2 linked regions of the Cricetulus griseus genome follow. The protein of the gene in region 1 binds, or shares a complex with, the protein of each later gene. Links are inferred from orthologs where the notes say so. Each region holds a gene or a part of one and is shown on either strand. Other genes may lie near its edges.

Region 1 (4,250 bases):
CATTAGTAGCTTCACATTAGTAAGGTTAGCCTGATAGTGGAGTGAAAGAAAATTAGTCAAAACTGGAGTCAGGACACAGGTAATGAGGCCAGTTCCCCATAAGATATACTGGCAGCTTGCCTTAGGCAATGGTAATGATGGATAAGCTATATACAGTGAGGACACTGAAAATATAGGTTTGGGGGAAAAAAATTAAGAAACCACCTAAGGGTTTCTTGCTAAAACACTGAAGAGATGGTGATAGCTTAAATCAAGATACTCAGAAGGGGAAAATTGAGATTTTTCAGTGGAAAACCCAGCAACTCAACGTTAGGCAGGCTTTAGATTAGTGATTTTTCCCCTGGTCTCCTCATTGCACTTTGAGAACCAAATGAGATGTTTTGTTAGGTATGATAATACCAGTGAGAATGGAAAAGCTGGCCACCAAACAAAAGCACGCACTACTGTCACCACACAAAGGACACAACAGGTTGTGTGGGAGGACAGCTGCAGAAAATGGCCTCTAATTCTAGTGGAGCGAATGCTGCACCTAGTATTTTTCCACTCCTGCTGTGACTCACAGCCAAAGATGGCGCCTCAAGAAGAATCGAGCAAAGGGGGAGGGGGGCGTTGGAAAACGTGACGTTCTTAATTCTTGTTTTCACCACAGTCAACAGCGCCAGCGGGATTGCAATCTCGTGGGGATCCTCATTCACGCTTAAAAGCACGATTCATTTTGTGGGCGCACGATGTAGGGGGTGACAAGTCTTCCTGGACTGCACTGCATTCATTCACCCATTCATTCATTCCTATTCATTCTTGTATGTTTTCTACGCTGGGCGCGGGCCCGTCAGCTTCCACCTCTGCTTCTCCCCACAGCGCTTCCAGTCCTGAGGCATGACGCTTCTCCCGAGGCGATGGCATATTGCCCTCGGAGAGAACGAGCACTCCTGACCCACTTCCGGCTCCACGGGCGGAACCTCGGGCTCCCGCGCGCGCCCGCGTCAGAGCGCGCGCACGCCGGACTCTCAAGAGCCCGCAGGCACGAGCAGCCGACAGCGCTCGGCTGCCGCCGGGGAGGGGGCGGGGCCTAGGTCCAGCCCGGAGCTTGGGCCTCCGGACCCAGTTACCTAGGCAACGGCAGCAGAGGCGAGCCTGACGTCAGCGGGCGGCGCGCAGCCCGCACTGCGGCACCAGGGCCCCTCTTCAAAGCGCGCGTCGCCAGCGGTTGAGGCTGCCGTGCCGGAGTCTCCGTCGGGCCGCCTAGCTGGGCGCGGGGAGCCGCTTCGCACTGCCGGGCTGTCGCTCGGGCGGGACAGGCCGCGCTGCGCGCTCCTCTCTGTGAGTACCCTGCGGGCGCGCTGTGTCGGGAGCCGGGGTGCGGGCGCTCGGCCCTGCCGGCCGGCCTCTCGGGGGCGGCGAGGGGGCTGCTGGAGGCCGGGAGCGCGGGGCAGCACTGCGCCATGCAGGTCGAGCTTGGCCTGCGCCCCGCGCGCGGCCGAGGATGCCGCTGCGAGCTACTTCTGCCTACTCTCCCGCTCTCCTGGTCCAGGCTGCCCAGCATGGTGCTCCGATGGAGGGGATGCAGCCTCTTCCTCTCTGCTCGCAGTGCGGGCTTAATTAAATGCCCCTCAAGTTGATGCGTACCGAGTCTATTTCCTTTTAGATGTCATCCTGGTACTAAAGGACGTGCTGTTCTCTTAATTACTTACATCTATGAAGAGTGATCGATGGGTCCTATATGGAAGAGTCAGGTTATATCGATAGGATCATTTCAGTCTGTGTAAACCTCCCCGGAACGGAGGCTACTTAAAAATCTACCAAATGCTTGCTCTGCCTTTATTGTCACTATAAAAACATCCCCCGAAATGTTCCCTCTCCGTTTTTTAAAGAAAAAGATGCTAACAGGCTTTTCACCTGTTGCATAAATGACTGCATGAGCTTTCAGGAGAAGATGTTTGTTATGAGGTGGATGGGGAATTTTTTTTTAAGGATATTTGAAACAAATTCAAATGCCAATAATTTTAACAGTATTTAGAATATTATTTATTTATGAGGATACCACTGACTTATTGGTTGAATTATGCTGCTTTTTTTCTTTGAAAATTTGTTACAGAGGAGGAAATCATCAAGTGCGTATGCTTTTTTTCTTGCCTTGATGTGTAGGCGTGTACTCCATGTTTTTCCAGAGCAGGGAGGGAATGTAATCCGGTTAATTTTTCTGCGTAGTCTCGCATAGGAGCTTCTGTAAAGCTTCTTCGGATGACGAAATCTTAAAATAATGGTATAATGATATCTAATATCGTGTATAATAATTTTGAAAATCAAAAAATTGTCCTATAAAATCATATATACAAAATTGGAGATGTTTTATTAAACCTAACCTTAAATTTTGGTGATGTTATTAAATATCAGTTATTCTGTTTTTCTGTAGTATACCTTAACATTAAAAGATGATTATTTCTGTACTGTATTTGCTGTGTTATCATTAAATATTAGTGTTTAAAAAAATTAGTGTTTATTCAGTTGTGCCTCAAAATATCAAACAATATTAGATTTATATAAATATATTAAATTAATCGTGTGTTTTCTTTTTTAATTATTTGCTAAATGGGCATAAAGCAAATTTACTGAGTACCTGCAATGTGTGATTTATTTTATTTTTATTTTATTTTGCAATTTTTTTCTCCTTTCAACAAGTAGGTGCCATTTTAAGATCTTAGACATTTTAAAAAAAATTTTTAAAAAAACCAAGGCCTAGTGAAATTAATACCTTATCCAAAGCCATTTATCAGTAAATAACAGGATGGTACTAGAATCATTGTTAATTGCTTCTTTTTCATTTTAAACTGAGGCACAGACCTGGCCCTCCAGAGGCTAGCTCTGTGTGTGTGTGTGTGTGTGTGTGTGTGTGTGTGTGTGTGTGTGTATGTGTGTGTGTGTGTGTGTTGGGGTGATGTCACAGAATATAGCATTTTACAAGGACGAAAGTTGAGGGTTTGAAATCAATGGATTGATGAAGAACAGAGTATCTTGTGGAGCTGGTATCGAATTCAGGATCTTGCAGATGCCTGGCAAGCATTCTACCATTGAGCTACATCCTCAGCTTCCCCTCCCCCACAACAAAGAAAAATTCCTTTCCAGATGTTTTTATCCTTCCAAGGTGTAAGAAAATTCTAGAATGAATTTATCTACATGCCTCTCTCACATATCACATTCTTTAAACCTGTGACTGTCAGCTTTCTGTAAAAAGCTATGGCACATGTGACTTCCTGATTATAAATCTATAGTAGGTAGGCATCCTTCAAAATTTACAGCATCTTTTGACAGCATACAGTATAGATTATTTTCTCTGTGTAACACTCCATTTTCTCATTTTTTGAAACCAGTCTCCTTGAATTGTTTTTATTTTGCAGGGTTCAAAGTTAACCCTTTTGGCATTTTATGTTACCGAAACCATTACATATAGGTGATGCCCAAATCTGCAGCCTCTACCTATTGGTTTAATACATTCTACTGCCTGCTAAACATAGTATTATGCTATTATTTTTATTAAACAATGTTATTACTGCTATATTTGTATATTTGAAAGCTTGCTATGTGACAAATATTGTACCAAGTGTTTTGCTTGTATATTCTTATTTACTGTTTATAAAATCTTACGAGTGATTTACTCTTAGTCCCTTGACAAATTAGGAAATTGAGGTCTACAGATATTAGTCTCTTGGAAGATGAAACTGGAATTTGAACCCAGGAGTCTGTTAACTAATTTGATTCTTGTAGTTGCTTAGTACTCCTTCGATGCCCAGTCAGTATGCCTCACACTAAGCTAAGTGCCCCATGAGAATTACCTATTATAAGTGTACCTATCATTTATTGGTACTTATTTAACTATAGTAAATCATATAATTATTAGAATTACCCATAGAACAATGAGTAAGCACTGTTTACAGGCAAAGTTTACAAATAAACAGATGCATGAATGTCTGATGTCACACAGGTAGCCATGGGAAACTAATTCTAAGAGTTGGGTTTAAAACTATTCTGTTATACTAATTGCATTATATTATAGCTAATACTGTTGTCCCGCTTATTCTAGTTCGAGAGACACAGAAGAAACCATCCTCAATTCTCCTGCTTCTTTACTAGTTATTTAATGTTTTCTAAAATATCAAAAAATTTCCATTGAAGAGCAATGGTATGATCAAAGGTCTGATTACACTGGCCTTTGTAGCCTCTTTCTTACAATTTGGTGTGGATTAGAAAGTAGA
Region 2 (4,390 bases), on another chromosome or scaffold:
ATAAATAATAAAACCTTGCTTTTACAGTTCAGTGGGTCTGTCTCCCTGGTGGTCTTTGGGGATCTTTGAGACTTGGGCACAACACTTGTTTTAGTGCAGTATTTATTTATCTATTTATTTATTTATTTATTATTGGTTTTTCAAGACAGGGTTTCTCTGTAGCTTTGGAGGCTGTCCTGGAACTCACTCAGTAGACCAGGCTGACCTTGAACTCACAGAGCTCTGCCTGCTTCTGCCTCCCGAGTGCTGGGATTAAAAGCATGAGCCACCAGCACTTGGTCCCTTTATTTTCATCTTATGCATATGGGTGTTTTGACTGTATGCATGTGTATGTATCATGTGTATACAGTGCCCAGAGAGGTTGTTGGGTCCCCTGTGACTGGACTTAAGGATCCTGTGAAAGAGCAGCCATTCTCTCCAGCTCCTTATTACATGTTTTACTATATTTATTTACTTATTTACATATGCAGATAAGCACCATGACATGCATGTGAAGGTCAGAGGACAGCCTTTCCAGAATTAAGATGTATGTTTGGAGCCGGGGGATGGGGGCTGGAGAGATGACCCAATGGTTAAGAGCCCTGATTGCTCCTGCATCAGACCTGGAGGAAGGAGAAGTGAAGGCCAGCCCAAGCTACATAGTAAAACCCTATTTCAAAATGGATAAACAAGGGGCTAGAGAGATGGCTCAGAGGTTAAGAGCACTGACTGCTCTTCCAGAGGTCATGAGTTCAATTCCCAGCAACCACATGGTGGCTCACAACCATCCATTATGAGATCTGGTGCCCTCTTCTGGTGTGCAGATATACATGGAAGCAAAATGTTGTATACATAATAAATAAATAAAATCTTAAAAAGATTTTAAGATCTTTTTAAGGGGTTGGGGGATGGGGGTTAGGGTGGCATACACCCTTAATCCTAGCACTTGGGAGGCAGAGGCAGGTGGATCTCTGCAAATTTGAAGCCAGCCTGCTCTACAGAGAGGGTTCCAGGAGAGCCAGGGTTACACAGAGAAATCCTGTCTCAAAAAAAACAAACAAACAAACTGAAAACAACAACAAAAGACCAACTTTCTCCCATGTTGAAATAATAGTAGTAGTAAGTACTCACATAATAGATCAGCAAATGCTAACGTTGGAGAATACAGCCAGGCAGTCGTGTCCCAGGCCTTTAATCCCAGCACTCGGGAGCAAGAGGCAGGCAGAGCTTTGTGAGTTCGAGGCCAGCCTGGTCTCCAGAGCGAGTGCCAGGATAGGCTCCAAAGCTACACAGAGAAACCCTGTCTCGAAAAACAAAAACAAACTAAGTACTGGGCTCTTTCTTGTTGTTTTCTTGAAGGGACCTCAGGCACCGCATAAAATGCATCTACTATCTAATCCTGCACAGCCTTCCGCTAGCCCCACCCCTCCTAAAGGACTGCTTACTTGTTATTGGTTCCTCTGGCCGCTGTGGGTTGCCGTGGAGACTCGGCGCTGCGGCCTGCGCTCATGGCGTTGTACCAGCTCTTCTCCCATCCGGCCGAGCGCGGCTACCGCGCGGGGCTCTGCTCCAAGGCCGCGCTCTTCCTGCTGCTGGCCACCGTGCTCACCTACATCCCCCCTCTGCTAGTGGCCTTCAGAAGCCACGGTGAGCCTGCCCGGGCTTGAAGAGCCACATGGCTCGGTGCGGCCCGCTGGCCCAGGCCGGCTTTCCTGACCTGGCTCCCCAACCCGCCTTGTCTCCCGCAGGGTTTTGGCTGAAGCGGAGCAGCTACGAGGAGCAGCCTAGCGTGCGCTTCCAGCACCAGGTGCTACTCGTGGCCCTACTGGGGCCCGAGCCCGGAGCCTTCCTCGCCTGGAGCACGTTCCCCACCTTCAACCGGCTGCAGGGGGTTCACCTGCGAGTCCCGCTCGTGTCGGTGCGTGGTTCCCGCCGGGGTTCTGGGGAACAAGATGGGGGCGAGTTCCAGGGATCCCAGGTTGGATTGGGGCGGGGGGGGGGGAGTAAGGGGGAGGTCTCAAGTCTCGCAAGCTGATCTTAAACTATATAGTCAAAGACCGCCTTCAACATCTGGTTTTCCGGCCTCCACCTTCCCAGTGTTGGGATTTCAGGGCTGTGCGCTTCGCTGCGAGCACTTTATCATTGAGCCACACTCCCAGCCTCACTGCTTGGATCTCAAGGAGCTACAGGGGTTGGAAACACAGTCTTTGGCCTGCGCATGTTTAACTTTCTAGATATCTCCAGAAAGTCAGCCATGTAGTTGGTGTTTGTCTAACAAGAGTCCAGATGCCAGAGCACAGCCTGTTTCTGGTGGTGGTCACTTCTGAATGGAAAGGAGGCAGTGAAAGCCCCTTTAGGGAATTGAAAGCCGAGTTTGAGCATCACCACTTCTGTAAGGGCAGAAAGTGCCAGCGGATTTATGCAGACTGGACGCGGGGATAGGGGCGGGGACAAGCGCTGATTGGTTGCGTTTTCGGCTCCTGCTTTGGCCAAGCCATGCCTGTCAGGGTTAGGCTCACCGCACTCTGCTCCACTTTGCAGCTGTCCTCCATGAAGCTGAAGCATTTTACTGCCTGCAGTTTAGTGTTTACTTTCACGTAAATCAAATGCTCCCTTACAGGCATCCCTTTCCGTTCGTATTCTGAAAATAGTTTCCTTTCAAACGTGAATCCTTTCAGATATGGCTGGTTATTAGCCTTATAAGGAAACTTGTGTAGCTGATGGGGGAAAAAAATCGGACTTTTCCACCAACAGCTAAATAAGAGCTTTAAAATATTAAAGTCTTGTTGGTCATGTGAATAGCAATACACAAAATATAACCAGATTACTTTGCTCTTTAATGTGTGTGTGTGTGTGTGTGTGTGTGTGTGTGTGTGTGTGTGTGTGTTCCCTCTGATCACTAACCTGTAGACTCATTGTGAGATTAAAAAGGTACAGGTTTATACATGATGACAGAAAAGTAAAGGTATCAGTACTTGTTAACCAACCTTATTATTTTTAAAGTCTTTAGATTATTTAATGACATGGGCAGAATGATAAGTTTAACCAGTTATTTGTTGGTAAGTATTTTGTCACAGCAAGCACAAGCTCATTCTGTCTCACAAAACCATGGCCCTGGCAGGTGAAGTCAGAGTACAACTCGGAGGAGTCAGTTTTCTCCTTCCACCATCTCAGGAATCCAGCTCAGATTTTCAGGGTTGGCTGCAAGGGTCTTTACCTGCTGAGCTATTTCACTGTCCACCCTTTTTTTTTTTTTAAATAATTTGCCTCAATTTAATTTTTTTCACTATTAGACTTTTTTTATTTTTTTATTTTTTGAGACAGTGTTTCTCTGGAGCTTTGGAGGCTGTCCTGGAACTCACTTAGACTAGGCTGGCCTCGAATTCACAGAGATCTGCCTGTCTCTGCCTTCTGAGTGCTGGGATTAAAGAACTTAGAATTAATATCTAAATAACAAATTTTTGACTAAGCCTTATGCCTTTTTCATTCTTTTCAAGATGGATTATTGTTATCTTGCCTGCCCAAGCTGGCTGAAGCAATAAGCCCCCTTCAGTCTTCTAAGAAGCGGGCTATAGGCATGACCGCTTGTCCAGACTTAAACCATACACCTTTAAATGTCAATGGAAGATGTCGTTGAAATTTTATGCACACAAAGAAAACGAAGCAAGCAAATAAAATAATTGTTAACTTCAGGGAAATAAAACACAAGAAAATGCAAAGCAGGAAATTCGGTCGGCATTGTGAACAGGACTGGCGAAGTCCTGATTACAACAATGAATACTGACTGACCGAAATATGAATCTAGCTCAATTGAAGGGTTGAGAGAGGGATGTATGTGATGAGGGTTGGTAGGAAGAGGGGAACTCAGGCTCCAGCTTTGTTCATGGAGTGTCAGTAGAGAATACTCCAGACAGAAATGGAGATACACCCAAACAAATGTTATCAAACACCTAGGAAAGCATTTCTACACACACTCATCAAGTAACAGGTAAAAGGTTTTGCTGTGGAAATCATGTGGTTTTTATAACACCACTGATCTCTTTTATTCTTTAAATGACCAGTTCTCTTCCCCCACAACACAAACACATACCCCCTTTGTTATTTTGAGATTGTGTGGCATGTAGCCCAGGGTAGCTTGGAGCTGAGGATGACCCTAAAGACTTTGAGCTCCTGTGCCTGCCCCCAGCTGAGATTGCAGTCATGGGCCCACCATGCCTGTTTTTATTACTTACTTACTGTGGTTCTGGTGAGCCAACCCAGGATCTCAAAATGGCTATGCAAGTGTTCTGCCCACGAAGCAACACTCCCAGGGCTTTGTGGTTGGCCATGAACTGGTGATCCTTCTGCCTCCTTTTACTAAGTACTAGGGTTACAAGCAAGGACTACCAAACTGTCCCCATTTTTTTTTTCT

The links.
Region 2: Ahi1 (region 1) and Tmem231 share a complex: the UniProt entries of both Homo sapiens proteins name them as parts of the tectonic-like complex. The link is inferred for Cricetulus griseus from reciprocal best matches to the Homo sapiens genes AHI1 and TMEM231.

The regions. Positions count from the first base shown.
Region 1 is NC_048595.1:268,869,082-268,873,331, reverse strand, and holds the start of Ahi1 (jouberin), read left to right. Parts: upstream 1-1,145; 5' UTR 1,146-1,320; intron 1,321-4,250. UniProt on the Homo sapiens protein: Involved in vesicle trafficking and required for ciliogenesis, formation of primary non-motile cilium, and recruitment of RAB8A to the basal body of primary cilium.
Region 2 is NC_048596.1:188,336,448-188,340,837, reverse strand, and holds the start of Tmem231 (transmembrane protein 231), read left to right. Parts: upstream 1-1,443; 5' UTR 1,444-1,487; coding exon 1,488-1,626; intron 1,627-1,727; coding exon 1,728-1,897; intron 1,898-4,390. UniProt on the Homo sapiens protein: Transmembrane component of the tectonic-like complex, a complex localized at the transition zone of primary cilia and acting as a barrier that prevents diffusion of transmembrane proteins between the cilia and plasma membranes.